Linked DNA regions of Mus musculus. The protein of the gene in region 5 binds, or shares a complex with, the protein of the main gene of each other region. Links are inferred from orthologs where the notes say so. Each region holds a gene or a part of one and is shown on either strand. Other genes may lie near its edges.

Region 1 (3,976 bases), on a different chromosome or scaffold from region 5:
GCTCAGGATAGGACATAGCCAGGATAGAGACTGGAGACCCAATTTTGTCATGATGTGTGGCCAAGGAGAACGGGTCTGAGCGGATGCCATCCTATGCTGTGTGGCTAGGCAGGGCACCCACCCAGTCACCTGAATTGCCTTAGTCCCCTCTCTATCAGACTGGTCTAGAATGAGCCAATCTTGTCACCTCTTGTTCCCACATGCTTGTTCCCAGATTCAAATGGGAAGAAGATGTGGAACAACAGAGGCACAGAGATAGGTAATGGCTTCACTTCAAAAGTAAACTCTAAGCCAGGCGTGGTGGCGCATGCCTTTAATCCCAGCACTTGGGAGGCAGAGGCAGGCGGATTTCTGAGTTCAAGGCCAGCCTGGTCTACAAAGTGAGTTCCCGGACAGCCAAGGCTACACAGAGAAACCCTGTCTGGAAAAAACAAATAAACAAACAAAAAAAGTAAACTCTAGACTTCTCAGAGCACTGTGGTAGGAGGGGCTCTGGGGTGATATCCACACACCCAGAGGAAACTAATTAGTAACTATCTATCAGGGGGCTGAAAGAGGGTAGCGTTAGCTTGGGCCATGTACCTGCCATCCCCAGACTAGCACATACTAGCAAGTAGCTTCTGGGCCATGGGCAAATCTGCCAGGTAGACACCCAGATCCCAGAAGGCCCATGGAGGGAGAGGAGGGACCAATCCAGGAAGCCTTCCTGGAAAAAAGGGGACAACAGCAAGGACATGAATTTGGGGTAAAATCCCAGGAGGCCAGACTGAGCCTTACTTGGGGAAGTGAGTGAGGATGAGGGTCCTCTTCTCAGGCACCAGTTTGTCCTTTTCCACCCGAAATTTTTCCAGTAGCTGCCGGCGGGTGACAGTGAAAATGGACCGTAGAAGGCTTCGGCCAAACACGTGGGTGGTCTCGTAGCGGGGGAGGCTGTCGCAGCTCTGGGGCACGTGGCAGTAACAGAGCCATCTGGGGGAGGTGGAGCGGCAGGTGAGGGTGGAGACCGCCAGACTGGCTGTTCAAGCCTCCCCTGTAAGGCCCTGTCTGGGCTTACCTGGTATAATTGACTTTGTAGGTAGCGACATCCTCAGACTGGGACCGCTGCCGGAATTGAGCAGGGGTCTCCAGCTTCCAGTAGTTAAGGCAGAGCAGGAACATCTTTGAGAGCTCAAACATTGTCTGGCGCTCTCGGGGGGCCAGGTGGCTAAATTTGTACTGCACAAAGTTCAGTACACCCTGAGGAGTAAGGAGGGGACAAAATCAGGAGGAGGTGTGGACAGCCAACAGAGGCATGTCAAATAGGAGGGATTCTGTGAAGAGAACCTCTGACCCTTCCAACTTCCACACCCACTCTGAGGTCAGCAAACACCATGTCCCTTCCTTGAACCTCTCCCCTGTTCTCAGCTTGAGGAAATAAACCAGACTCTCCACCCTCTTAAGTCGCCTTTAATCTTGCTACATGCCCGCCCTACCTGTTCAATGTTAGGCTTCTCAAATGGGGGGCTGCCTAGAGACCCCTCCACCACTGGCCGTGTCATCTGCAGAATGCACTTCCGCAAGAGCTGTAAGGAAGAGGGATGGGCAGAAACAGGAGTAGCAGAGCTCAGAGAGCAGGATCCCCAACACACACCAAAGCTTCACCATCTTTACTCCATGAGAACTCACCTTGAAGAGGTAGAAATAGACTTGTTTGGTGTCTGTGTCCTCTTCCTTGTGAACAGACATGAACAGATTTTCTACATCTACTACCATTCCCAAGAGCCGGTTAATCTCGTCCTCTGACACATTCTCCAGGTGGGACACATGGTCCGCTGCAAGATGGTTACATTAGGGCTGGGAAGAACAGAAGAGCTCCACGGGGCTTGATTCCTGTACCTCCTCTAACTAGCCAGTGACACACCCTTGATTCTCCAATTCTTGACAGACAGGGAGACCCAGTGTTCTCAGTTCTCCCATCAGCCCTTGGTAGCTACCTGCTACCAAGGCAGATCTCCTTTTTTCCTTCCATGGGACATTCACATTTATTCCCTACCCAATATTTCCTTAGAAGGTCTCCAAGAAGCTCTGTGGTACTTATGTCACCCTGTTCAAACAGGACCTGGCTCCTGCCCTCCGCCCCAGCTCCAAAGGTGGTGCCTGCCTTACCCAAAGGGTGCTCACAGCTACGGCACAACTCGCTCAGGTTGGCAGCTGGCTGCTGGAGGTCCATGCGGGGTGCGGTGGGGGGCTTGGGGTTTTTCCAGCCATTACACTTGCAGGTTTCATTGGCCTGGAGGGGGAAGGTTCAGTTCCCTGATGCTGTCTGCATCCCAAGCGCAAGAGCGGCTCTATGGCTAGAGCTTCGCCCCCCATTCCTACCCCAGACCTTGGATGCCCCAAGCCCCGCCCCTTTTGCTCTAGGCCCCGCCCCCACCTTGCAAGCTGAGAAGACCCCTAGTTTCTCAAGCTTCTTGGCACGCGGCAGACCCCGGACTTGCGCCTTCCTCTGGCTAGCGCGCTGCTGCTGGCTCAGGCCAGGTCGAGCCGGATCCCCCCCACTTCCTACCCCGGCGCCCCCACTCCCTGTGCTCCCAGCTGGGGCTGCAGCTGGGGCAGGGGCTGGTGCCGGAGTCGGAGCCGGAGTGGAGGCTGAAGCCGGACTGGGCGCAGGAGTCGAAGTTGGGGCAGGGGCTGGGGAGTGAAGGGGCCGGGGCTGCGCTGCCGGGACCGGGTTTGGGGCCTGGGAAGGTTCCGCCATGGCCTCCCCCGCAGCGGAGCGGCGCCGCGCTCCCAGCCCTAGGGCCGCATGGGCAACCGGCGCACAGTGCGCAGGCGTCACGGCCCCGGCGCACGATGGGAGTCGTAGTCTTCCTTTGCCGCTTCCCATCCTTTGGCCTTCCATACTTTTTTTTTTCTTGGTTCCAGACAACCAAATGTCGCTTGGTTGAGCATCCTAGATTTGACCATTACTTCATTCTAATCTTTTTTAAGCCATCCGAGATAGTGACAATTACTATCCTCTTGGGAACAAGAGGCACCCCAGAACACTGGCCGTCTGGAGGATTTGTGGATGCTGCCCTTTTAAAGTCCATAGGTGGAAGAACAGGCCTGGGCCTGAGGTTGGCTCCCACATTGCAAAAGCCTGCCCTATTGTGGCTGCCGGCTAAGGCTTGCAGCTACAATAGAGATAAAATGTAACATTAATTCTACTATTTGTACTGTGGTGTTCACACTTATGAATTAACTTTGACAATCAGTTTTTGGGTTTTGTTTTGTTTTGTTTTATTTTGTTTTTTGAGACAGGGTTTCTCTGTGAAGCCCTGGCTGTCCTGGAACTCATTCTGTAGACCAGGCTGACCTCGAACTCAGAAATCCGCCTGGCTCTGCTTCCCAAGTGCTGGGATTAAAGGCATGCGCCATCACTGCCCAGTGACAATCAGCTTTTTCTATACTTGGGTTGCTGTTAAACAGAAACGGTTTTATTTTCAAAAGAACAAAGAGACATAGTTGTGGGCCATGCTGCTGTTGAATGTGTGTGTTCATGCACGGGCATTCGTGTGTGTGTGTGTGTGTGTGTGTTGGGAGTGGGCAGGAAAGGGGGGGGGGAGTGTGTTTGTGTGTGCTGAGAACTAAAGAACCAGAGAGACCAACACTGAAGATGCGGAGGGTAGGGGGTGGTCCCCTCTTCTGGCTCGCCTAGGCAGCTTTGAAGATGGAGAGGATTCCTGACCTCATACCCTTCCATCCTACCTCCATCTTTTTCCCTGCCCACTCCTTAATGGGGGGGTGGGGGTGGAGGAAAGCCAGAGAAATAGACAGTTTCTTCCCATTGTAGAGGTAGACTGTGAAAGGTCAGGGATAGTTCTTCCTGGAAGATCAGAAAGGCCCCCTCTTTTGGCTCAGTCCAGAGAACAATTTTCCTTGCCCCAGGCCCGATTCTTAAAAGGGCAGGGTAGGGCAGGGCCGGCAGGGCAGGGCAGGGCAGAGCAAGCCAGAC
Region 2 (4,020 bases), on a different chromosome or scaffold from region 5:
GGCACGTCGATTGGGTCATCAGTAAATTCATATTCCTGGATCTTGGGTTGGACGTTTTTGGATTTGGGTCGTCCCGGGCCAGGGCCTGGCCCATGTCCTGTCTTCCCTTCCAGTTTCTGCTTCTTGGGCTTTCCGTGTTTGGGGGGAGCACCGAGCTCGTGGTCGCGACCTAGCTTCAGGAATCGTCGGTCCCCTTTCTTATCCTGCCAGTCAGTAAGGATCTGAAACACACAAAGACAACCCCTGAGACGGAGAGAAGAGACAGGGCACTTCTTTCCCCGCCATGGATAACTGAGATCTAGAATTTGAGGTTATTAAGCAAACTACTCATATTTCAAAATGCCTGTTCTTCTCTGTGATTTTCTCACATGAATTTAACCGGAGGTCTACATTCTGATTCACTTCTGCTGCCGCCCAAGCTAGTCACAAACGGTTTGGCATGGTAGTCCTGGGGAAATCTGCTGCTGCTGGGTTTTTTGGTGGTGGTGAACAAGACTCCCAGCTAACCTTTATGTCACACTCCAAGGCACCCGGTGGTTCTGTCTATGCAACTGACTGTATCACAGTGCATCTCAGAAAGTTCCCAGGCAACTTCAGGGGCCACACGTGGGCGGTGTCCACCTACAGTCGGATAGCATCCTTGGCTAACGGTAAGCTGAACTGAGAGCTAACTATTCTGTCATGATTCCCATGTGGGTCTCTCTTCCCATCCATCCCTGGGCCTCAGCAGAGAGGGAACCTAAGGATCCATCCCATAACTTGACACAATGTCTCTAGTGGATGCCCCCCATGGACAATCACCTGGGTTTCAGCTTCCAGTACACGCAGTCTCCGGCTTGCAGAGGACAGCAGAGTCTCAAGCTCCAGCTGCAGGGTGTCCAGCTCCTCAATGCCAATGCCATCGTCCTCGGAGCGGGCCAGCACTGCCGTGTAGCGGGGACAGACCTTCAGGTGGTCCACAGACTTGAAGTCATGAAACTGCAGTGGACAGTCCTTCAGCTCGCTCATGGCCCAGGAGGTGGGACCCTGTAAAATTAGAGGGGAGAAGGCCATTGGATAGGAGACAAAGTAGCATGGGGAGAGAGACCCAACAGAGCCCTGACTGTACCCCAAGCTAGGTTGACTTCACTGAATTATGCACATAACCTTAAAAGGGGGGCCTTTTGCCATGCTTTTCATTCATTCATTCATTCATTCATTCATTCAACATAATTTCTCTGTATAACAACTCTGGCTGGCCTGGAATGAACTCTATAGACCAGGCTGGCCTTCAATTCAGAGATCACCTGCCTCTACTGGGATTAAAGGCGTGTGCCACCACTGCCTGGTTTCTTTCTTTTGACAAAGAAAGGAAAAAGACTCCAGAAGAGTATGTACACATGCCTAGACTCCTAACTGCAATTTATTGTCTTTTTTTGTTTTGGTAGCACTGAAGGGTCTCACACATCTCCAGACCCTACCTCACCCCCATTTTGGGGTGGGGGAGACAAAAATCTCATTATGTAGTCTTGAGTGGCCTGATACTCATTTGCTACATAGATCAGGATTCATAGAGCTCCCCCTCCCGACCCCCACCCCAGAAAGCACCTGCCTCTGAGTGCTGGGATAAAGATATGCACTCAGGTTGGTCTCAAACTAGCTATGTAGCCAAGGTTTTGTCTCCACCTCCCAAGAGATGGAATTTTAGGCATGTACCACACCTGATTTATACAAGCGCTTGTTCATTCTAGGCACAAATTCTCCAAACTTAATTATGTTACAGTTACATCCAGCCCCCCCCCCCTTTCATGAATTCCAGGCCTTGAACTTATGATCCACCTGCTTTAGCCTCCCAAGTCACTAGGTGTACAAACCTGCATGATTAGGCCGGCCTCCTAGTTGCAATTTGAACCGCAGAAGTCTGGAATCTGCAGCATTAAGGAAGAGGAGATACTAGTGTGCCCTGTCTTCCTATGTCCTCTGTTTCCCTACGTTGGGTCGTTTCTAGCATTCTATTTGACAGGGTTCTCCCTGCCTCCTCTTGTCTCACTCCATTCCACCTCTGCACCTTCTCTGTGTCCCTGGCTAGTTTGGAACACAGGCTGGTCAGGTGAACAGAACTAAGTTCCAGCCCATTTTCTTATGTGCGTTTCTAAACATGTTATTTAACCTGAATCTCCGGTTTTTGTTTGTTTGTTTGTTTGTTTTTCTTTTTTCCAGGACAAAAGATGATGCCTCAGTCTATTTCCCCATTAAGAAGTATAAATCTGTAAAATGGGGGCATCGAGAATTACCTACCTCCCTGGAATGTTCTGAGGATTAAGAGGTGATGCTCGTCAAGTGCCCAGTTCAGTGCCTGGCACAGAAGTGGGACTGCTTAATGGCTGGCTCCACCTGTGTGTCGCCCCAAGATCCCGCCTCCAGGGTCCTCGTCCTCTAGGGAGCCCCTAACACAACCCCCGCCTCTCCTACCTCCTCTCTGCGGCCTCCTACAGGCCCTGGGCCGCAGGAGGGGGCGGGGAGTTCAGGGCGATCGGAGCAACTGCTCCGGAACTGGCTATGGGCGGGCCCCCTGCAGTTGACGCGAGGGCGGGGACGGCCAGCCCAAGGTGGCCTGTAGGGCCGGGGTGGGGGTGGGGGTCTAAGGCCACCTACGAATCTCCGGGAGGTGGAATGCTAGGCCTGAGGAGTCCCGGGCTAGGAAGCAGCCCGGGGCTGGGGTGGGGCCCAGAGCCCAAATCTCAAGGGACTGGCTACCCGGCCGAACCCTACGGTTGCAAATGGGAGGAGCCCGGAGAGGATAGGGGAGCACCACCGGAAGAAACGTTTCTCCGGTTCGGCCTGTCCTAATTTGGTGCCCAACCTGAGGTCGGGCTGTACTATTGTCACACGGGGGGAGGCTACAACCAAAGCGACAAGCACTAAAGGCGCTGGCGGAATATGTGTAGCGATCCAAGGGGACTCGACCGCTACTGTCTCATAGCAGGTCTTCTACAAGTCCCAGAGGTCCCAGTGTGAAATCGCCCCGGAGATCTGAATATCTCTCGGCTCTCCCTCCCCGGTCCTACCCGAGATGGTCCAGCCCGGAAGTGCTGTCGGAGACTGCGGCTGCGCCTCTCTCGAAAGGGCAGGCGTCGCGGGTCCGGGCACTTCCGCACTTCCGCTTTCCGGCCCAGACAGCGCCCGCGATGGTGAGAGACCAGGGGTTGGGGTCCTCCCTGTGTTTTGCCTGTAGAGGCTGTGGGTCTGGGGGAGATGCTGCTTGCCGCTAGGGCTTGCGGCCCGAGGTTGCCCCGGGATGAGGAGGCACGGGGAGGATGGAGAGGCAAAGGGTGGGGCGAGGGCCGAGGCGAGGAGGAAGGGGCGAGCCAGGAGGCTCTCTGAGCAAGAGCAGGCCCGGAAGCTTCCAGGTTGGGAATCCCGGGCTAGAATGACCTCTCCCCGATGTTCGGAGGGGGCAGGAGACCGGGCTGCGAAGCCCGTGGTGGTGGCTTGCAGCTGAGGTAGGACCGCTCTGCGGGGCCTCCTCTCCGTCCACGGTAGAGGTTGGCTAAGTACAACCCCCTGTCCCTGCCTGCCTTCGCGGTCTCACGGGACCTCGAGGCAAGTGTCCACTTCATCTTCTTACTTCTTGGCGCTTCCTGGAAGCCTTGCCTTCCAGCTCCCAATGAAGGTTCTGTGTTGCTTGCCTGCATTCAGACTCCTTCCTAGATGTGCAGAACCGTGTTGACCTTAACGTGTGTAAATGTTGATGGCCGCTGGTCCTCCTCTTTCATGCTCGGGTTTGGGATCTGTGGGTGCTCCGTGCAGTTGTTCTCCGAAAGGTCCCAGGCTTCCCACTACTTTCTCTGGTCAGCCCTTGACGACCTGAGTTCTAAAGGCTGGACTGCTTGTTGCACGCCCGGGAATGCTCTCAGGGAAGAGACTTTGAAATTAGACCCTCTTTTTCAAAAGTCACTTTTTAAAGCTTGCTCCAGTGTTAGTCCTAACTGGTTTCATTCCTTAGCGTGAAAGCCATTTCCTGCTGACTGAGTTTTGACT
Region 3 (4,104 bases), on a different chromosome or scaffold from region 5:
AGCCCCAAGGCTCTTCCCCTTGGTCTTTACTTCTTCCAGCGCTGAGACTGGGCCTCATGAGAACCTGCCCCCTGAACAAGCTCCTCTGGCCTTCAAGCCTGAAAGAGCTGCTTCAGAAGAGGCCTTCCCCAGCCTGTCTGTTCATCCACATTTTCCGTGTTTTAGTTCCTGAGTGCTGGGCTTCTGACTGCGCTGCACAAATGGGCACAAACACTAGCTGAGCTACACTACAGACTCTACAGACCGGGCTTGCATTTCCTTTTTAACAAAGTAAGATAGAACAAAGCCAAAACACTGAAGTTGGACAAGACAAACCAACAGAAGCAAGTGAAAGGGCATAAGAATCAGAGACCCACTCGTTCACACTTGCAAGTCCCATAAAAATACTAAACTGAAAAGAAAACTATATACATAGAGGACGTGGTGCCGCCCCATGCTGGCCCAGACCCATGCTGGCCCTGTGCTTGCTGCTTCAGCCTCTGTTCATCTGAGTTCATCGGAGCTTTGCTCAGCTCATTTAGAGGGCCTTGTTCTCCTGGTGTCCTCCTGACCTCTGGCTCTTATATTCTTCTGCAGGGTTCCCTAAATACAGCCCAGATTTCAAGAGCTAAAGCAAGCGCAGTGCTGAGACTAACACTCTCACTCTTTTCAGTGTCTCCTCTGGAAATAAGTGCTAGAGGACTGGTGTGAGGAAAGAAAGGCTCTCAGAAGCAGTGACACGCAGGCCAGAGATCAGTCAGTAGTCTTGACTGAGGTGAGAACACCTCAGGCAGAAGAAAGGAAATGATCAATGGACTCCGCGTGAGCTCACAGAGAGCCATAGACATTGTCAGGCCCTGCAGGCACTGGAGTGTAATCTAAGAAGCAGAACTGAAGTTGCTGAGGGCCAACAAGATGCGGCTTATGCTCCAAATGCCCTATGTTCATGTGTGAGAAGGGTTACAGAACAGAAGGAAGAGAACGGTAAAACCATGAGAAGTGATCACGAGAGGTAAGCACCATCATGGGTCAGGCCAGAAGAGTAGGTCAGTAGCTACATTATGCACATCTTTTCAATACATGACCACTGACCAATTGGATGTGGTTGATGGCTTTAGGTTGGCTCTGTGTATAACTGAGGACAAGTGAGTCTTCACAGGCAATCAGGTAGAGAGGGATCACCAGGTATGCGACAAGCTCCAGAAACAGAGCATATGAATGCCACACTTTCAGCACTGAGGCTCTTCTTCAAGGTCCTTCATGTTGCCTGATCTGTACAAAGCATATGCGCAATACACACCAATAAACACCACTTAGAGACAAAGTAACCCATTGTTTTTAGAGAGCAGGAGCCAGTGTTGCTCACTGGTAAGACATCTGTGGAGTAGACTCCTTCCTAAGTGGGGAAGTGGGTCCAGAAGGTCACTCATTCTACGACGATCTGAAACAGGAGGGCAGTAGGGTTGGAGTAGGGGAAGCTCGGGGAAGCTAGGGTCAGAGGGCCCTAACATACCAGGGAAGAGTCTGGACAGGAGAGGGTCATGCCGAGCTCCCTGCTTCTCTGAAAGCTTGAAGATGTGACATATTCTTGGAGGCAATGGTGACAATGCAGCCAGATCTCATCCCTAACATAGGTGAGGAATAGAAAGGAGAGCTCCTTAGAGACAGCCAGAGAACAACCAGGAGCCCAGCACACTATCTGGCTGGCACACATGAAGGCTCTTACTACCAGTGAGCTACCTCTACAGAAACCTGACAGCTAGAAAGCAGACCCCAGGATCCATGCCTCTTCAGGAACACGCCTTTGTTCATTCTTTACTGTCCACCCATCACACCATGTCCTGGGTGCTGTGGAGACTAAGACTTAAACAAGATACTGCTACTCATTGAGAACCTTAGCACAGGGCACATGCTGACACCCACAGAAAGCACACGAAGCCCTGAATGCAGACTAAGTGCAGGCGGGACGGGCAGCCCCAGGCTTCTGGCCTTCCCCACCACTATGCCCAGGAGAACACAACCGTACTAGGGGAACTCAGCAAAGGACAGTGGGATCTAGCTTGCTGCCATCTGACTCAAGGATAAGCCTGGCAACGCACAGGGCCTACCCTCTACCCGCGTTCAATGCACACCTCTTGAGGACGAGTGTGAAGGGCAGACAGCTCCGTGTCGGGGCAATGGGTCAAGGCCCTGCTCTACCAGCTGTGTGACCGCTGGTGACCAACACGTTCCGGACACAACCATCCGACCACCTGCGGCCCTCCGCAACGTACACCGAGCCAGCCAGCCATGCCCTCCCTTCTAGCCGTAGCCCGCCGCTCACCCAGTTGCCGAAGCCGAACTGCTCGATGGCGTCCAGCAGCAGCTGCTCCTCGCGGCTGGTCCAGCCGCCCTCCGCCTCAGGACCCCAGAGTGTGAATCGTCCGCCGTCTACCAGCTGGTAGCCGTGGTAGCGGCGGTGGTGGCCGATCTCCGCGCCGGCCGAGAAGCACTCGGGGCACAGCTCGATGTCCTGGCACTCTGTGCAGCGGAAGCGCAGCGGGCTCACCTCGGCCAAGCAGTACACGCAGTACTTCTTACCCAGCTCCGCCATCTTCCCCCGCTCGCCCGCCGCCCGGCCCGCAGCCGCCGCGCCCCCGGCCGTCAGCGCCCCGCCGCCTGCCGGGCTCGCTGCGCCCGCCGCGCCCGTGCCGCTGCCGGCCGCTGCCACGGCCGCCCCCGCCCAGGCGCCGCCGGAGCCGGCCAGGCGGGCCGCGTCCCGCCTCAGCACGCAGGCGCCCTCCGGCCCGGCCCGGCCGCCGCCGCCGCAGCCGCTGTCTCCCCGCCGCATCGCGCAGGCGCCCCCCGCGCGCCCTCTCGCGGACAGCCGAGTCTTTGCTCTGCGCCTGCGCGCCGGCGCCTCCCGCGGCCTCATGGACTGGAGGAGCCGCGAGGCCCCGCCCTAAGCCTGTCAGCCGGCGGGGCGCGGACCGGAAGTAGGCCGTGCGGGCCACGCCTCTCGGGAACCAGCGTCCAATTAGCGCCTCCCTTCACCTGTTCGCAGATCTTCATTGGCCTAATATTGCCGGGAGGTGGAGAGAAATGGAAGGCGGGTGACCAATCGCGGGGCCCACCGCGCGCCCTGGTTGCCCCGGGAAACCTAACAGCAGGCATCAGCCGGCCTCAGAGCGGGGCCGGCGGGTCGAAAATGGACAGCCACTACGGGGACATCGAGGGCAAAGACCGAGCCGAGGAAGGCCTGGCCAGGCAGTCGCTCGAGATCAAGGTTAGCTCCGAACCTCTGACTCCGGCCAACCCTGTAGAGCAGGAGCCAGAGCCGAAGCCAGAGCCGGAGCCGACGCAAGGGCGGGAGCCTGAGAGCGAGACCCAGCCGGTGTCGGACAGCTCAAAAGCGAAGGATTCGGAGGGGATCGATTACGCGCATGTTGAGGTCCCGGAAAGTCCGGGGGCCGCTGAGACCGCGGGCGAGGCCGTGTCCCGAGAGCCAGAGAGTCTGCCACAGACCCAGCCCAAGACCAAGCCGGAGTCCAAGGAACCAGAGGACAAAGACGAAGACGAGGATGAGGACGAGGATGAGGACGAGGACGAGGACGAGGATGAGGATGAGGATGAGGATGAGGGAGAGGAACGGGACAGGCCAGAGAAGCCGAAGGGCAAGGGGAAGAGGGAGAAGAGGAAGGAGTCACGGTTCCGGCCATCTCTACCGCTGACCACAATTGTTGAGGAGGGGGCTGCCCCAGGCCCACAAGCTGCGAAAGAGAAAGCAAGGGAGTCACTGAAGAAGAGAGACAGTGAAGAGATCGAGGGGACAGATCGAGAACGACACAAAAGCACAGAAGAGCAACTTCACCCTGGAGAGGCCAAGGAAGAGGAGAAACAAAAAGGGGCGTCCACTGAAGAGTTTGAGTGGACAGCGGACATGCAGAAGCTGCAAGAGCAGCAACTGCGCGGCGAGCTGGTGGAACAGTACCACTCCCTGCTAGTGGAGCGGAACCGTTATCAGCGCTACAACATGTACCTACAGCAGAAGATTCACGAGACCCTACGCAAGAAGGGGCTGGAAGCAGCGGCGGAACCTGGGGACAAGAGCGCTGAACCCGAATCTCCCGAGAAAGAGCAAGCATA
Region 4 (3,500 bases), on a different chromosome or scaffold from region 5:
CACCTGTAACTGAGTGTCCTCACCAACTGTACCATCAGTGGTACCAAAACTGACTGGTTTTAAAAAACACGTGGATAGGGAAGGCAGGAGAACATGGCAGACAACTATGTGGTCTTCCTGAATCCCTTTAAGATGGGGTAGATGTTTTCAAATGCTTCATAAATCTCTGCTCTAACTTTAGCACCTACAAAGACACATGGAACAGAAATGAGATGGTTAAGAAGTAGCATCATTACCTTAAAACATAAATACAGTTCTCTCTATACCTAGTTAAGACAAACAAATGGTGGAATCCCCTTATCACCATCCTAGCTGTACCCACTATTCTACCCCCTTTTTTTGAGACAGGGTTTCTCTATGTAGCTCTGGCTCTCCTGGAACTTGCATAGACCATGCCTCTGCCTATGAATTACTAGGATTAAGGGCCATGCCCAGCTAGCTCTCCAGCTATGTTTTTAGAACAGTATTTTCTAAGTGTTTTAAAAAGTGATACACGGGCTGGTGAGATGGCTCAGTGGGTAAGAGCACCCGACTGCTCTTCCGAAGGTCCGGAGTTCAAATCCCAGCAACCACATGGTGGCTCACAACCATCTGTAACAAGATCTGACGCCCTCTTCTGGAGTGTCTGAAGACAGCTACAGTGTACTTACATATAATAAATAAATAAATCTTTAAAAAAAAAAAAAAGTGATACACTTAGCGACTTTTAAACACCCTAGACCATCATTTCCTCACTATATAGTTGGTCTGAGATCAGGATCCACAAGTCAGCAAGACAATATCTACTTCCTACTCTAGTTCCTTCCCATACTTGGACCTGAGTGACATGGTATCTGACAAGCACTGAGGACTGAAATCTTATTCTCCCAACTGTTGGTATTCAATTGAGCTCTTCTCAGTCTTGTAATCATACTCTACTAACCCCCAAGGTGCAAGGGCCAACTGAAAACAGTCAGTGTCCCATCCCTGCCTGCTCCCACAGTCAAGCTTAATCTAGCTGACGGCTACATCAGCAGCAGGCCTCTGCAGTTCTTCTCATTCTTCTACCCTTCTCAAGAAGGTTAGAATGGTGTGCAAAACTTAAAAAGCATCCTTACACATGGCTAGACAACTGTTCTAACACAGAAAATGCCACCCCAACATCCTTTGCAGTTTCATCCACTTCCTTTCAACTTACCTGTTAATACAACTTTTCCAGAAACAAAAATAAGGAGAACAATTCTGGGTTTGATCATTCTGTAGATTAATCCAGGAAATAATTCTGGCTCATAGCTAGAAAGAAAATGGGAATACAGTTTAGAAATCACCAGTTCTTTGTGTTTCTGAATACAAGAGGCTTTGTGCCAGAAAGTCCTGAGTAAAGAATCCAGGTGTCACAAGTAGGACACACAGGAAGAAACCAGCCAGGAGCCATGAGTCATGGACATAGCCACCAACTACTAGCTACATGTCCTCCTATCACTTAATGCTATCTTCAGACTCTAGAGGTTCTGTGATAAAAACAAGAGTTGTATACACACGGTCTGAGCCTTATTTAGATGCAGTTAAAGCTAGTCTAGTTATAGCACCTTATCAAAATCTCACCATTCACTCCTAAGCTAAGAGTGGCAGTCAGCCCTGTAATCATCTCACCTTCCTGAACAGAACTCTCCTGGAGATGCCTGCTTTTCTAACAGGTGCCTTAACTAGAGTGAGAAACCAGACATGAGCTTGGCCATGAACCGACTCCCTGGTCATACCATCTATTCGAACGGACATTAGTTAACATACTCTAACACAGCGATTTCAGGTTTCTTAGTTCAGTCTACAAAAGGATCTGCCTTTCTTGTGAGTGATCCAGAGATAAACTCAGGACAGGTCTATATGAGGAAGACAACATGAGTGAATTCCTGAAACTCAAACAGGAGTTTCTATGATGAAAATTGTACCCAATATGTCAGGGTTAAAAGTGACATGTGCAGAGGCCATGGAGCAAGAGGAACCTGGTGAGTACGAGAGAACTGGTAAGCTCAGTGGTGTGGCTGCAAAGAGAAAACAGATGTTATAAGGATGTGAGTAGGGATGCTCCACCAATATTCAGGCAGAGAAAGGCAAGAAATAATACTGGGCAGTCTACCTCTGCTGCTCATCTTTACACTGTGTTGGTATGCTGACAAAAAAAGATTCAAACTAGGAGAAAAGTGATAGAAGAAACTACAAATTCATGTATTTACATCTACTTACTGACTAACAAAATGGTGAGGCATACATACAGAGGTGAGCTAAATCATTCCAGTGAGAGAGTCTGGGTGTCATGTGACTAAGGAAATAGGGATTGTAAAGACAGTGGAGAGTGCAGTAGCTCAAATGTAGCAATACCTTAACTTAACTTGCAGTTATGTCATACATGCTTAGAAACTGCACATCTTATATGTACGTCATCTGAAATGATGCCTGAGTGGGTTATAAATGGACTGTTGGAAAACTACTCCCCATACTACTTAGACCTACCTACTGAACTGCTGGTGGGTCAGCACAAGGCCTTCCAGCCTTATAGGGAACTTCACATCACAGCTCCCCACCATGTTCTGGATCTTGAAGTCTAAGAACTTAGCTGGGAAGCCCAACTTCTGCACAACTCTAGCATATTTTCTTGCTGCTAGTCTGGATTGTTCTTCACTACAGAAAGGAAAATCAGTGAGTTATATATGGAAGCCTAATAGAGTAATTTAGATGAATAACAAACAGAGTCTAAATTAGGAAAGTAATTAAACTATCTCCGTGTCCTCAACAGAAACCATAAACCTACCAAAACATAAGCCTTCTATGTGGCACATTACTGTCAAGCCCTCAGATTTAAAGGACTCGATGTAGTGTGTGGTTCAATTAGCATGGCCACCGTCATCACCTCATTATGACCTATAAATCTCTACTGAAATGAAAACTTCATCTTTATAAAAAAAATTAGTAAAATGTATTATTGGGAAATACAAATTCTATCTTCCTTTACATCAAATCTCTATCCATTTTTAGGACACCACTATTGGATAAAGCTATGATTTTCCAACTCAAGAGTTTTCATTTGAATATCAGAATGCGAATGGCAGTGCTACAACCAGAGCCCAGGAGATCAGGAGTAACAGTGTGGGGCACCAAAGCTATGCAGAGTAATCAGAGCAAACCATTCAAAAATAACATGAAAAGTGCTAGCCTGATAACAGAAGGACGCTAGAGCCTTTTTTCTTTCATAATACACCCACTAGAAACAAAGCATTCCTTAAGGATACCTCTTGGCTCCTGTGCACACCATTTTTCCAGAACTGAAAATCAACGCAGTTGTCCGTGGCTCTCTTATTCTCATGATGACTGCAGCAAATCGCTAAAATGGTCAGAAAGAGGCATTAAAAAGGTGTGAACGAAAGGGTAAAAAGAAAAGCTGTCTTCATGATGACTGAGGAAACAGAGCTGTGGTGCTGTAGGTCCCAGGTCAGACTATCTTTGCTACATCAGATATTCTTACC
Region 5 (3,116 bases):
TCTCCCTCTATTGTCTACACCAAGGGCCCTGCTTCTACTATGAATACCTTTGTCTTCTGTTATTCTAAAGTCCCCTTTGATGTAATTTTTGCTAGAAATCATGTGGTTGCCAAAACTATAGGAAAATGGTTTTCTGTTCATTAGGAGTGGGAAGGTGGGTATAAAAGAACTTATACAAGAGTTTACATGCCGGTGGAGAAAAGGCTCAGCAGTTGAGTCCTGACTGATTTCCCAGAGGACCCAGGTTCAATTCCTAGCACATAAGTGGCAGCTCACAACTGACTGTAACTCTAGTTCCTGAGGATCCGACACCCTTACACAGACACGCGCCTAGGCAAAACACTAATGCATATAAAATTAAAATAAATCATTTAAGCCAGGCAGTTGTCAGTACACTCCTTTAATCCCAGTACTTGAGAGGCAGAATCAGGTAGCTCTCTGAATTTTGAGGCCATTTTGTTCTACAGAGTAAGTTCCAGGATATCTAGGGCTACACCCATGTCTCAAAACACACACACACACACCCCAAAAACCAAAAGAAAGCTAATCTCTATGTCTGTAATCCCAGCATTTGGGAACTGGGCATGGTGGCACATGCCTTTAGTTCTAGCACTTGGAAGGCTAAGGTAGAGGGATCTCAAGGCTAGCCAGATCTAACAGTTAATTCCAGGACAGCTACAAAGTGAGACTCTGTCTTAAACAAAATAATCACAAAAAAACCAAACCCAAATGTACCAGTACTCTGGGATATGGAGACAGGATAGTGAGTTCAAAGCTAGCTTGGGCTACATGAGACATCATCTCAGGAAAAAAAAAAAAGTTAGTCCCAGTTATCTTTCCTTCAGTTAGATAGCAATTTCAGTTAGAGGAACCATTTGGAATTGATCTTCACCTGGAAATACCTCTCTTTTGGGTTAAATTTTATTAAATTATTTTTATTTTCAGGCTTTGGGCTACCGATCACTATCAGCCTTTGAGGATATTTGCTGGCCATCTTGCTGATGTGAATTGCACTAGATTTCATCCAAATTCGAACTATGTTGCTACGGGCTCTGCAGACAGAACTGTGCGGCTCTGGGATGTCCTCAATGGTAACTGTGTAAGAATCTTCACTGGGCACAAGGTATGTCACACCTTCATTATTCCAGCACACAGATGCTTCCAAAGTTGAAATACTTAACCAGGAGCATAAACAGTTTAAAAATAATGGTCATGCTATTAAACTACAATTCTACCTCAGTCTTATCAGATAGATTTAACCCTACTTTGCTCGTTTCTAGGGACCAATTCATTCCTTGACATTTTCTCCCAATGGGAGATTCCTGGCTACAGGAGCAACAGATGGCAGAGTACTTCTTTGGGATATTGGACACGGCTTGATGGTTGGAGAATTAAAAGGCCACACTGATACAGTGTGTTCACTTAGGTTTAGTAGAGATGGTGAAATTTTGGCATCAGGTAAGTTATTTCATGGCTGTGGGGTAAAGAAACCACAGTAAACACAAGTATCCATGGGGAGTTGTGACAGCGGCACACTGATGGCTTCCTTTGGCTTCCTTTTAGGTTCAATGGATAATACAGTCCGGTTATGGGACGCCGTCAAAGCGTTTGAAGACTTAGAGACTGATGACTTTACTACAGCCACCGGGCATATAAACCTACCTGAGAATTCCCAGGAGTTGTTATTGGGTACATATATGACCAAATCAACACCAGTTGTACACCTACATTTTACAAGAAGAAACTTGGTTCTAGCTGCAGGAGCTTACAGTCCGCAATAAGCCAACGGTATTAGAGACCTTTTGGAAGCTACTGTTTGGAAAAGGGAGACTAAAAGCAAATACCTCAGTGATTAGTATTTAAGCTACAAAGAATGTTTTTGTCTACATGGATCTGGAAGTATGCTGCTTGGAAAATCTGAACAAGACAGTTCCACGTTTCTATAGCAACCACATTTAACTAATTTCCGTTAGTTGAATAAGAGGTATTATGTTCGTGGAGGGGACATTTATGGTGCTTTGGATTGTGTGGAAACTATGCATTTTTTTTTTGTTGTTCAAATGCTATTTTAATTTATTGTGTTTAGAAAAAAATCAATTTGATTTAAACAATTCATTCTGCTTCAAGATTCAAGTTAAGAAATATAGTACCACCTTGAGTAGCTGAAGAGTTCTATGAACGTGTGTGTGCTGTAATGAGGTTATTGTACGGCACTCAAGCAGCGTGTTCAGTGACCCACTAACATGCTTCCCTTCACCCACCATTAGTGGACTGTATGGAACTGAGTAGGGACCACACTTCCTAAGTCTACATGTACAGCCATCCACCAACATCTCAGTTCCTACCATGTAAGTTTGGCGTGCAATCAAACACTTACAAAGCAGGTGAGGAGATTTAGATTCCACACTCTACTTCAGCTAACATGGCTACATATGACCTAGTACACTTGAAGTCAGACAGACATTTCAGTTGCTTACCTCCAATACTGAGCCTTGCTTTGGAAAACTAAGAGATTCAGACCAAGTCACTGCCAGTTTTTGCCTTTGTTGCATTTTGTACAGTTTTATATTTTTGATATCTTGTAAATAAAGACAACCAGCTTTTCCAGGTTCATAATTTATTGTACAAATTGAGTATTACATGATGAGTTCACATCAGCTTCTTCAGGCATGGGACTTAACAGGTGAGGTCAGACATTTCAAAATCCTATAAACAAAGCAAAAACAGTTTGATTTAAATGTGTTCTACTGACAATCAGTAATCACCACAAATTCCCCAAAGTAAAATGTACATTCACTAGGTTCTCAAAAGTCAGTAGGACATATGTAACAATATATGTGTGTGTGTGTGTGTGTGTGTATACACAGCTCCTTCAGGTTGCCATAGTTTAACGTTCCAGCTTTAACAATTGAAGTAGCTGTTGAAACTGCCAATAGTTCAGTATAGCCTTAAAAGCAAAACTACTGGAAAAACCTAAGTATACAAAGTAACACTTAAAATGTTTGTTAATTTTATGTGTGAGAGTTCTGCCTGCACGTGTGTGCATGTACCACCTGTGTGACATCAGAAGAAGGTTAGCAGATCCACTAGAACGGTTGTGAACCAACATGGGTGCT
Region 6 (4,277 bases), on a different chromosome or scaffold from region 5:
CAGCCATCTTCTGCCCTTAAGGTTCTTAACTGATATAAAGCCTGGTATGGTGGTGTACGTCTTTAATCCCAGCACTTGGGGCAGAGGCAGGTGAGAGTCTCTGGGGCTTCAAGACCAGACTAGGCTACACAGTGTCAGGACAGCCAGGGCCACATAGGAAAGCCCTATCTCAAAACCAAACCAAACCAACCAACCAAAAAATTCTCCAGAAATTACTGTCTACTAGTGTCTATATCCTAATCTCCAGGGATAGGACTGCAGCAATTTTGATGCCAATTCTGCCTGCCAACAACAAAATTCCCAGCATAAAATTAGACACCTTGCCGGGCGTGGTGGCCCATGCCTTTAATCACAGCACTCGGGAGGCAGAGGCAGGCGGATTTCTGAGTTCAAGGCCAGCCTGGTCTACAAAGTAAGTTCCAAGACAGCTTGAGCTATACAGAGAAACCCGGTCTTAAAAAAACAAACAAACAAAAAAACAAAACAAAAAAATTAGGCACCTCAAATACACTATTATCACTTATTGCGTTAATAAAAAGCTTAAAAAACATTCAATGGGCCGGGCATGGTGGCGCACGCCTTTAATCCCAGCACTGGGGAGGCAGAGGCAGGTGGATTTCTGAGTTCGAGGCCATCCTGGTCTACAGAGTGAGTTCCAGGACAGCCAGGGCTACACAGAGAAACCCTGTCTCGAAAAACCAAAACCAAACCAAACCAAAACCAAAACAAACAAACAAACAAAAAAACCAAACAAACCCCCACCCCCCAAAAAAACATTCAATGGGGCTGGAGAGATGGCTCAGCAGTTGAGAGCACCAACTGCTCTTCCAAAGGTCGTGAGTTCAAATCCCAGCAACCACATGGTGGCTCACAACCATCCTTAATAAGATCTGATGCCCTCTTCTGGGGTGTCTGAAGACAGCTACAGTGTACTTACATATAATAAATAAATCTTAAAAAAAAAAATTCAATGGAAAAAAAGTTTAGTATGAGCAATACCATTACTACCATTTCCCCTAACAGAAATACCTTCCCCAGAGGGAGCTACTTTAAACCAGTTTCTTACTTAACTTTCTATGTGTTTGTGTGTATCTAAGGGATACTTGGTGTGTATTTAAGTAAGTGTATACATACACACTGTATATATCCACACAGCATAGATACCCTTATAAATGACACTATACATAGTTTGCTTTTCTCCTTTTACAGCTAATACCCTCCACTTCCCCCTGTTTTTGTTTTTTTTCGAGACAGGGTTTCTCTGTGTAGCCCTGACTGTCCTGGAACTCACTCTGTAGACCAGGCTGGCCTCGAACTCAGAAATCCGCCTGCCTCTGCCTCCCAAGTGCTGGGATTAAAGGCTTGTGCCACCACTGCCCTGCTTATAGCTAATACCCTTAAGACAATCAAATGCATAATGTTCAAACTTATGTCAACTTGAACATTGTAAGAAATCCTGAAAAATCATGTCTCTATAGTCAAAAAAAATATACTTCCACTGTAAGAACACATCAATCCCAACTCTTACTCAGCGCTCGTGAACCCTTTCTGTATTCAACACTCCCATTCAGATCTACAGAGTTCTTATGATGTAACTCTTGTCCGTCCCTCCCCACTGCTTTCCCCCCTCCCGCCAACCGGCACGGTTCTAGGTTGGCCTTTGACTTCTCATCCTCCCTAGTATTGGAATAACAGACATATGCCACCCCATCTAGTCTATGTTGTTCTGGGGACCTGATTCCAGGGCTTCCTGCCTACTAGTGAGTAGTCTACCAACTGATCTACAGCATTCTCTGCAGCCTACTGGCTTCAGAATCTGAAAGCCCCAAGAAACTGTCTGGCCATGCAAATCAGATATTGTAAAATGTTCCTAAGGAATCTCAAAGCTAAAGCCTGCAGAGCTAAGACAGACAACAACCTCACCTGATTCGTTACCTGACAAAACAGCAGCTGAACTTTTTTCAGTAAAGTGATGGCATCTTTATCTATATCCATCCCATCTTTGTACAACTGGCCTATGACGCTACTAAACGCTACAACTTAACCTTTCTTATTAAAGCTCCGAAACGTCCCACCCACGATCAGCTCCAGATCACCACAAACGCTCAGAAACCTTAACACTGAAACAACAACAAAGCCCGTGGCGCGAACCGAACAAAGTAACAGTTCATTAGTCACGTCTCTTCACAAGCATCCCAAAAATCATCTACAGAAACCTTTCGGGAAGTGTTTCTCAAAAGCAAAGGGGTATCTAAAAATAAAAAATAAAATAAGAAGGTGACGACCAAGAAGGCCCAAAGACTGGGGTACCCACCATCACCACATCTCCTAACGGCTAAAAACTGCCTCACCGCACCTCGATTTTTAAAAACCCCAAGCCCGACCGCGACAAAGGCTCAGCAGCCCGTTCTCCAGGCAAAGATACCAGATTGACAAAGGCCAAGCGTCCGGCGGAGCGACGGGGCAGCGGGAGAGCAGGAGCCGGCCTGCCGCTCTCCCTCTCCTCGGCGCGGCGTCTGACCAACCGAACCGCCGCCTCCGCCGCTTCCCCCGCCCCCCACCCCAACGGTCGCGAGCGCCGGGTCCTGACGCGCCAGCCGACACGGCACGCCGCGCGGCCTGCGGAGCGCCCCCGGGACCTCACAGCCCTCGGCAAACCCCGGCCCGGCCCGACCCGACCCCGTTGCGCGCCCTAACCGGTGAGCAGGATATTCGGAAGCTTCATAGTCCTCCTTCCCCTGCAGCCAAAGCCTCCGCTCACGCGCCCGCCCCGACGCGCTTGCCAGGGAGGAACCGGAAAGGGCGGGCGTGCGTGCGGAGGGGCGGTCTCGTGCGCCTGTACGCGGCTAGGTTCCCTCGAGGCCCTCCGCCGGGCTCGCACGCACTCAGACCCTACCTCGGCACGCACCAGGAACTCCGCTGGCCTCGGGTCCTACGCTTCCATCTAATGGTGGGAAGCCGGGCCCCGAGACCCGCCTGCGTTTCGGGTCAGGCAGTGCGCTGGACGCCTACGTCCCTTGCTCGCTTGCCGGCCCCTCCCCTCTGGCTGCGTCGCGGAAGCGCCGTCCGTGAGGAAGGTCCCCAGGAGGCGGGCCCTCCAACAGCCTGCGGCTGAGCCGGGAGGGCTGGGTGGCGAAGTACAGCCCCGGTTCTCCGCTTTTTTCCGCCCGCGAGGGGACGCAGCTCCCGGAAAGTAAGGACGCCGCGGCTTCCGCTTGATTTATTAATATCCCAGAGGCGTGAGGTCAGCTGTGTCTTCACGCATACCTGGGCTGTGTCCTTCCCGGCCCGCCCTCCAGTCTGGACTGGTGTAGGATGTAGGTGAGGAGCCCTGGCCTGGAGCCATGGTGCGAGGTGTCAGCTCCGCTCACTGGTGATTGCAGAAACACCTAAGGACTGACGTGTGAGCTTTGTGTCCCTGTCCCCTGTGCAGTGTGTGAGGTGGAGGTGGATAGGCTAGGGGTAGTGTTGAAGTTCTCGTTATCTCCGGCGCGTTTCCCGAGCCTGATATCATCAGAGACGGTTGTTTGTTTATCGAAGGAGGTGACTGTCAGTCTTGTTTTCAAAGAGCCCTGATCATTGAGCATCTTTCATTTCGACAACTATAATTTCTTAAGCAGACGTTTTTGTGTCCCTTTGAAAGGTCAGGCCATAATCCTAAATTAGATAGGAGAAGATGATTTGTTTTATTGGGTGCCAAAGTTTTCAGCGTGTGGGCTTGTGTGTACCTACAACTCTAAAATAGATGGGTGCACCTTCCAATATATACATTTATCCAAAGTGACTAATGAGTCTCATTTCATTTTTTCCCCCTTAAATTGTAAATCCACAGTACTTGGTAGCATGACATGAAATACAATTTTCAGCATAAAAATAAAAATGTTTATATGGGATTAGTTTTTCTTTATAATAAAAGGTAAGTGCACAAATATATGGTTTTTCTGTTTCATTCATCGTTGAGTTTTTTTTTTTAAGATTTATTTATTTATTATATGTAAGTACACTGTAGCTGTCTTTAGACACTCCAGAAGAGGGTGTCAGATCTTGTTACAGATGGTTGTGAGCCACCATGTGGTTGCTGGGATTTGAACTCAGAACCTTCGGAAGAGCAGTCAGTGAGTGTTCTTAACCGCTGAGCCATCTCTCCAGCCCCATCATTGAGTTTTTATGAACAGCTTTTATTTATATTATACCATCATAGATAGATTATCTGATTAAATTGTAATCATTTAAAATTTACTTTAAGATTTTAACATCTTTATTTGAGCCCTTATTTC
Region 7 (4,018 bases), on a different chromosome or scaffold from region 5:
ACCCTGTCCAAAACAAAAAACAAAAACAAAACAAACAAACAAAAAAAACCCCAGCAAAAATAGAAGAGACATGAAGATTCTATTAAGTCAGTGGGAGAAGCCTGCGAAGATTCCAAATTTTTGTCATCACAAAAGTAGAGCAGTTGAAACTGAACTAAAGGTTTGGACAAGCAGCAGGGTGAATACCATTCCTAGAGCACTTTAGTGTAAGGGTCGTTTTCATATGTCCACATAAGGAGTAAAACCACACACAAATCACGTAACTAGCATCAGTGAGACAGAATGGGAAGTGGTCAGACTTGAACGAAACTGGAAGGTACTAGTGAGGATTTCTGTTATGGTTGTAAGATACAGCCGAAGTTGCCTTCAAACTCAATGAGGAAGACCCTGAACTCAAATTCTCCCATCCCTATCTCTCCCAAGAGCTGGGATCAAAAAAGATTTAGAGAGTTAAAGGCTGATCTTGCAGTTTCTAGAATTTTTCAATCCTACTGTACTCAGGCATTTATAAATCTCTGCCGCTGTACTTCCCAAGGCTCAGCCAAGGAGCCTGGGAGAAGGGATGGAGAGTGCAGTCTCATGGGCCTTTCAGGAATTAGTATGGGCACAACAAGTGGACACCGCTCACCCTGCGCTGCCCCAAGGGCTACCTGTCTGTTTAAGGAGCACCATGGAAGGCTAGTGCACTGTCATCTCCACAGCACACTTCACCACCTTCTTGCCCTGAGCTATGCCTTAGTCCAAAGCCTCAACTTACATCATTTGAAAGGTGGACACAAGAGGGATACAACGTTCAAAATGTCAACTGGGAGCCATGGCATATGCCTGTACATCTAGAGCCAGGGAAACAGATAGGAGAGCAGAAGTTCAAGGTTCTTGCAAGGTTCTTGCAAGTTCAAGGTTATACGCATATGCATACCAAGTTTGAAATCATGCTGGGATCTAAAAACCCTGCCTCAGCTGGGTGGTGGTGGTTCACAGCTTTAATCCCAGCACCCAGGAGGCAGAGGCAGGCAGGCACATCTCTGTGAGTTCAAGACTAGCAGATCTTGATCTATTCTAAACTCCAGAAAGAGTTCTAGGACAGCCAGGGCTACACAGAAAAACCAAGCCTCAAAAAAGGAAAAGAAAAACAAAAACAAACAAAACAAAAAAACCCTGCCTCAAGGAGGAGGGCAGAGGTGATCACATTCATTATTTTATGTCACACAGAGAGAATTAGTAGACATGAGAGAGACTTATACTGACCATGGGATGCACACCTGCAATCCCAGGACTTGAGAGGCTAAAGCAGGACTACCACCAAACCAAGGCTAGCATGGGCTAAACAGTAAGCACCAGTATAGCCTTGGCTATACAGAGCCTATCTTTAAAACAAACAAACAAACAAACAAACACCAAGAATAAAAACAGGCAACCTTATAGGCAACTCTGAGAACACTGTCCCTATAAACAAACATATGCAGAACAATATACTCTGAAAAGACATGTTCAAAAGCTTTCACCACCTGTAATAAAAACACTAGAAAGTACAACTTACATTCTTTCGAGAAAAGTCTCTTTCTCTTCCCCTGGCCACCTTCCGCTCCTCCTCCAATTTCTTCATTCTCCTCCTCAAACTAGAAATTTTAAAACACGGACATGGCAAATGATTGCAGTGCACGTGATATTCCCTCGAGTCTCCTCCTGCTCGCCCTCTTTGTGGAGTGCTGTGAATTGAACCCACGAGCTCACGATGCTAAACAGATGCTTGACCACTGAGCTACACCTCCTGCACTCTTTTCATCTTTTTTTTTAAAGGCATTTATTATTTATGTGTATTGTGTGCCTACATAAATGTGCCTGCTGTTGCCCATAGAGGCCAAACTAGGTCTAATCGCTGTAGGTTGCCAGATGTGACAGCAAATGCTCCTAAGCACTAAAGCTATCTCTCTACACTTTTTTTTTTTTTTTTTTTGAGACAAAGTGGTCTCACTATGTGCCCGTGTCTGCCTGAACTCACGGAGATCCGCTTGCCTCTGCTCCTGAGTGCTGGGATTAAAGGTGTGCGCCACCACGCCCAGTGACCCTTTTTCATTTTCGAAAGTGAGAAGCTAAAGCAAACTGCACAAAACCACGAAAATTTAGCACCAAAGGGCTCATAAGCCCTAGTCCAATTCTCAAGTCGTGCAAGAAGGCTTTTATTACGGCTGCTAACAACCTTACAACCGTGCGTGTGTAAAGTTCTAACGACCTCAGGTTCTGGGTTTGGTTTTAGCCAATTTAGTTGTCACACTGCTAAGCAAGACTACTGTAAAAACCTGGTAGTTTAAAATCTACTCTCTGCTGTCATCGGAAGCAACTGATAAAGGGCTAAGAACTTTCCTTAACTGGGCTGGACTCTACCTCACAAGAAAACCGATGCCAAAGGAGAATTTGGATCCCAAGCTTCCTGTCTTTAGTTCATCGTTTCTCCGCTATCTTCACTAGTTTTGTCAGCATCTGGGCTGCTGGTTCCGCTTTAATCAGCTTTGATCTCCTATGACCCTCTAGATGTCTTAGTGTCGGGAAGATCCAGGTCAAAGAGAGACCCTTTCTACTCTTCCTTCCCGTCTTGTCCCACGCACTGACTAAGGTAAACCAAAAAAGGAAAACACCGCGGAGCCCCCGGACTCTCGGCGGGAATCCCTAAGGCACAAGCGGGTCAGACTCTGCCTCCGCTAGTGATCCGAAAGGAGTGAGGAACCAGGCTGAGACAGGCGCTCACTCACGGTGGGGTCTTCCTCCTCATCTGCCATGCTAGCTGCTCGCCAGCCTTCTGAACCCGCCCACCGGCGGCTGGCGAGTTTTATAAGATACGTACGTCACTTCCGGCCTGGCCAGCGTTGCGCAGAGAGGCGTGCGCGTTCATTCTCCTACCCAACCCCGGCCTTGGGATTGGCTGGAAGTCAGTGACGTGCTCTTACGTGTGGAATCCTGAAGGAGGAATTAAAAATTACAAAGAAGCCAGGCGTGGTATACTACGCCGGGAAATCTCTGCACTTGGCAGGCAGAGGCAAGAGGGCTTCGAGTTCGAGATCAGCTCAAGTTTCATGAGCCCATGTCTCAGAAAACATAAGTGATAAATTTGTGCATACTTACGGAGGCTCACAAATGCCTGTAAAAATAGGATGACTTTTTGCCTCTGGGGCTGATCCACTCAAGTACACAAGCCCCATGATATTATATATAGTATCTATATTATTATATAATTATATATCTACTTTCTTTTATGTAAATAGGTGTTTTGCCGGCAAGTATGTGTACCATGTGTGTGCAGCACCAAAGAAGCCAAAATAGAGCAACCGATTTCCTGGAACTAGAGATAGACGATTGTGAACCGCTATATAGGGGCTAGGAATCAAACTCAAGTCTCTTGAAAAGCAGCCAATACTCTTAACCACGGAGCAATCTTTCCTGCCTCCGTTAATACGCAATATATATATGTAGTTTGGGTTGGAAGGTTGTTTTGCGCTTTTTTTTTTTTTTTTTTTTGGTTTTTTCAAGACAGGGTATCTCTGTGTAGCCCTGGCTATCCTGGAACTCACTCTGTAGATCAGGCCGGCCTCGTTCTCAGAAATCCGCTTGCCTCTGCCTCCCAAGTGGTGGGACTAAAGGCGTGCGCCACCACTGCCCGGCCGTTTTTTGCTTCTTCTTCTTTTTTTTTTTTTTAAATTACAAAAGATGTGCTAGAGAAATGGTTCAGTCAATAAAAGCTCTAGCGGAATAAGCCTAAGGCTCAGGTTCAATCCCTGGGACCTGTATAAAAAGTGAAAGGTGAGAAGACAGAGTCTGCAAGGTTGTCCTCTGGCTTCCATACACAATAATAAGAAAATATTTTAAAATTATGAAAGAGCTAAGTGTAGTGGCACTCGCCTTTAATCCCTGCCTTGGGAGGCAGAAGCCAGAAGATCTCTTTGAGTTAGAGGCCAGCCAGGGCTACATAGTCAAAACAAGAAAACCAAAGCTCGGCAGTGGTGGTCCATGCTTTTTGTCCCAG

The links.
Region 1: Taf5 (region 5) and Kat2a share a complex: the UniProt entries of both Homo sapiens proteins name them as parts of the TFTC-HAT complex. The link is inferred for Mus musculus from reciprocal best matches to the Homo sapiens genes TAF5 and KAT2A.
Region 2: Taf5 (region 5) and Tada3 share a complex: the UniProt entries of both Homo sapiens proteins name them as parts of the TFTC-HAT complex. The link is inferred for Mus musculus from reciprocal best matches to the Homo sapiens genes TAF5 and TADA3.
Region 3: Taf5 (region 5) and Tada2b share a complex: the UniProt entries of both Homo sapiens proteins name them as parts of the TFTC-HAT complex. The link is inferred for Mus musculus from reciprocal best matches to the Homo sapiens genes TAF5 and TADA2B.
Region 4: Taf5 (region 5) and Tbp share a complex: the UniProt entries of both Homo sapiens proteins name them as parts of the TFIID basal transcription factor complex. The link is inferred for Mus musculus from reciprocal best matches to the Homo sapiens genes TAF5 and TBP.
Region 6: Taf5 (region 5) and Taf9 share a complex: the UniProt entries of both Homo sapiens proteins name them as parts of the TFIID basal transcription factor complex. The link is inferred for Mus musculus from reciprocal best matches to the Homo sapiens genes TAF5 and TAF9.
Region 7: Taf5 (region 5) and Taf13 share a complex: the UniProt entries of both Homo sapiens proteins name them as parts of the TFIID basal transcription factor complex. The link is inferred for Mus musculus from reciprocal best matches to the Homo sapiens genes TAF5 and TAF13.

The regions. Positions count from the first base shown.
Region 1 is NC_000077.6:100,709,668-100,713,643, forward strand, and holds the start of Kat2a (histone acetyltransferase KAT2A), read right to left. Parts: upstream 2,801-3,976; 5' UTR 2,738-2,800; coding exon 2,414-2,737; intron 2,270-2,413; coding exon 2,146-2,269; intron 1,812-2,145; coding exon 1,666-1,811; intron 1,563-1,665; coding exon 1,473-1,562; intron 1,237-1,472; coding exon 1,055-1,236; intron 970-1,054; coding exon 778-969; exon of another isoform or gene 583-777; intron 1-582. UniProt on the Homo sapiens protein: Protein lysine acyltransferase that can act as a acetyltransferase, glutaryltransferase, succinyltransferase or malonyltransferase, depending on the context.
Region 2 is NC_000072.6:113,375,039-113,379,058, forward strand, and holds the start of Tada3 (transcriptional adapter 3), read right to left. Parts: upstream 2,801-4,020; 5' UTR 2,278-2,800; intron 1,908-2,277; 5' UTR 1,860-1,907; coding exon 1,854-1,859; intron 1,027-1,853; coding exon 802-1,026; intron 222-801; coding exon 1-221. Other genes in the region: Arpc4 (actin-related protein 2/3 complex subunit 4), read left to right, coding at 3,168-3,170. UniProt on the Homo sapiens protein: Functions as a component of the PCAF complex. The PCAF complex is capable of efficiently acetylating histones in a nucleosomal context. The PCAF complex could be considered as the human version of the yeast SAGA complex.
Region 3 is NC_000071.6:36,481,486-36,485,589, forward strand, and holds the start of Tada2b (transcriptional adapter 2-beta), read right to left. Parts: upstream 2,801-4,104; 5' UTR 2,573-2,800; coding exon 2,303-2,572; intron 1,605-2,302; exon of another isoform or gene 1,523-1,604; coding exon of another isoform or gene 1,493-1,522; intron 1-1,492. Other genes in the region: Ccdc96 (coiled-coil domain-containing protein 96), read left to right, coding at 3,167-4,104. UniProt on the Homo sapiens protein: Coactivates PAX5-dependent transcription together with either SMARCA4 or GCN5L2.
Region 4 is NC_000083.6:15,513,388-15,516,887, reverse strand, and holds part of Tbp (TATA-box-binding protein), read right to left. Parts: intron 3,359-3,500; coding exon 3,267-3,358; intron 2,659-3,266; coding exon 2,491-2,658; intron 1,273-2,490; coding exon 1,178-1,272; intron 185-1,177; coding exon 105-184; 3' UTR 1-104. UniProt on the Homo sapiens protein: The TFIID basal transcription factor complex plays a major role in the initiation of RNA polymerase II (Pol II)-dependent transcription.
Region 5 is NC_000085.6:47,080,864-47,083,979, forward strand, and holds the end of Taf5 (transcription initiation factor TFIID subunit 5), read left to right. Parts: intron 1-945; coding exon 946-1,123; intron 1,124-1,280; coding exon 1,281-1,458; intron 1,459-1,563; coding exon 1,564-1,781; 3' UTR 1,782-2,616; downstream 2,617-3,116. UniProt on the Homo sapiens protein: The TFIID basal transcription factor complex plays a major role in the initiation of RNA polymerase II (Pol II)-dependent transcription.
Region 6 is NC_000079.6:100,649,866-100,654,142, reverse strand, and holds the start of Taf9 (transcription initiation factor TFIID subunit 9), read right to left. Parts: upstream 2,801-4,277; 5' UTR 2,726-2,800; coding exon of another isoform or gene 2,698-2,725; intron 2,537-2,697; exon of another isoform or gene 2,426-2,536; intron 1-2,425. Other genes in the region: Ak6 (adenylate kinase isoenzyme 6), read right to left, coding at 2,698-2,725. UniProt on the Homo sapiens protein: The TFIID basal transcription factor complex plays a major role in the initiation of RNA polymerase II (Pol II)-dependent transcription.
Region 7 is NC_000069.6:108,570,481-108,574,498, reverse strand, and holds the start of Taf13 (transcription initiation factor TFIID subunit 13), read right to left. Parts: upstream 2,801-4,018; 5' UTR 2,778-2,800; coding exon 2,751-2,777; intron 1,620-2,750; coding exon 1,541-1,619; intron 1-1,540. UniProt on the Homo sapiens protein: The TFIID basal transcription factor complex plays a major role in the initiation of RNA polymerase II (Pol II)-dependent transcription.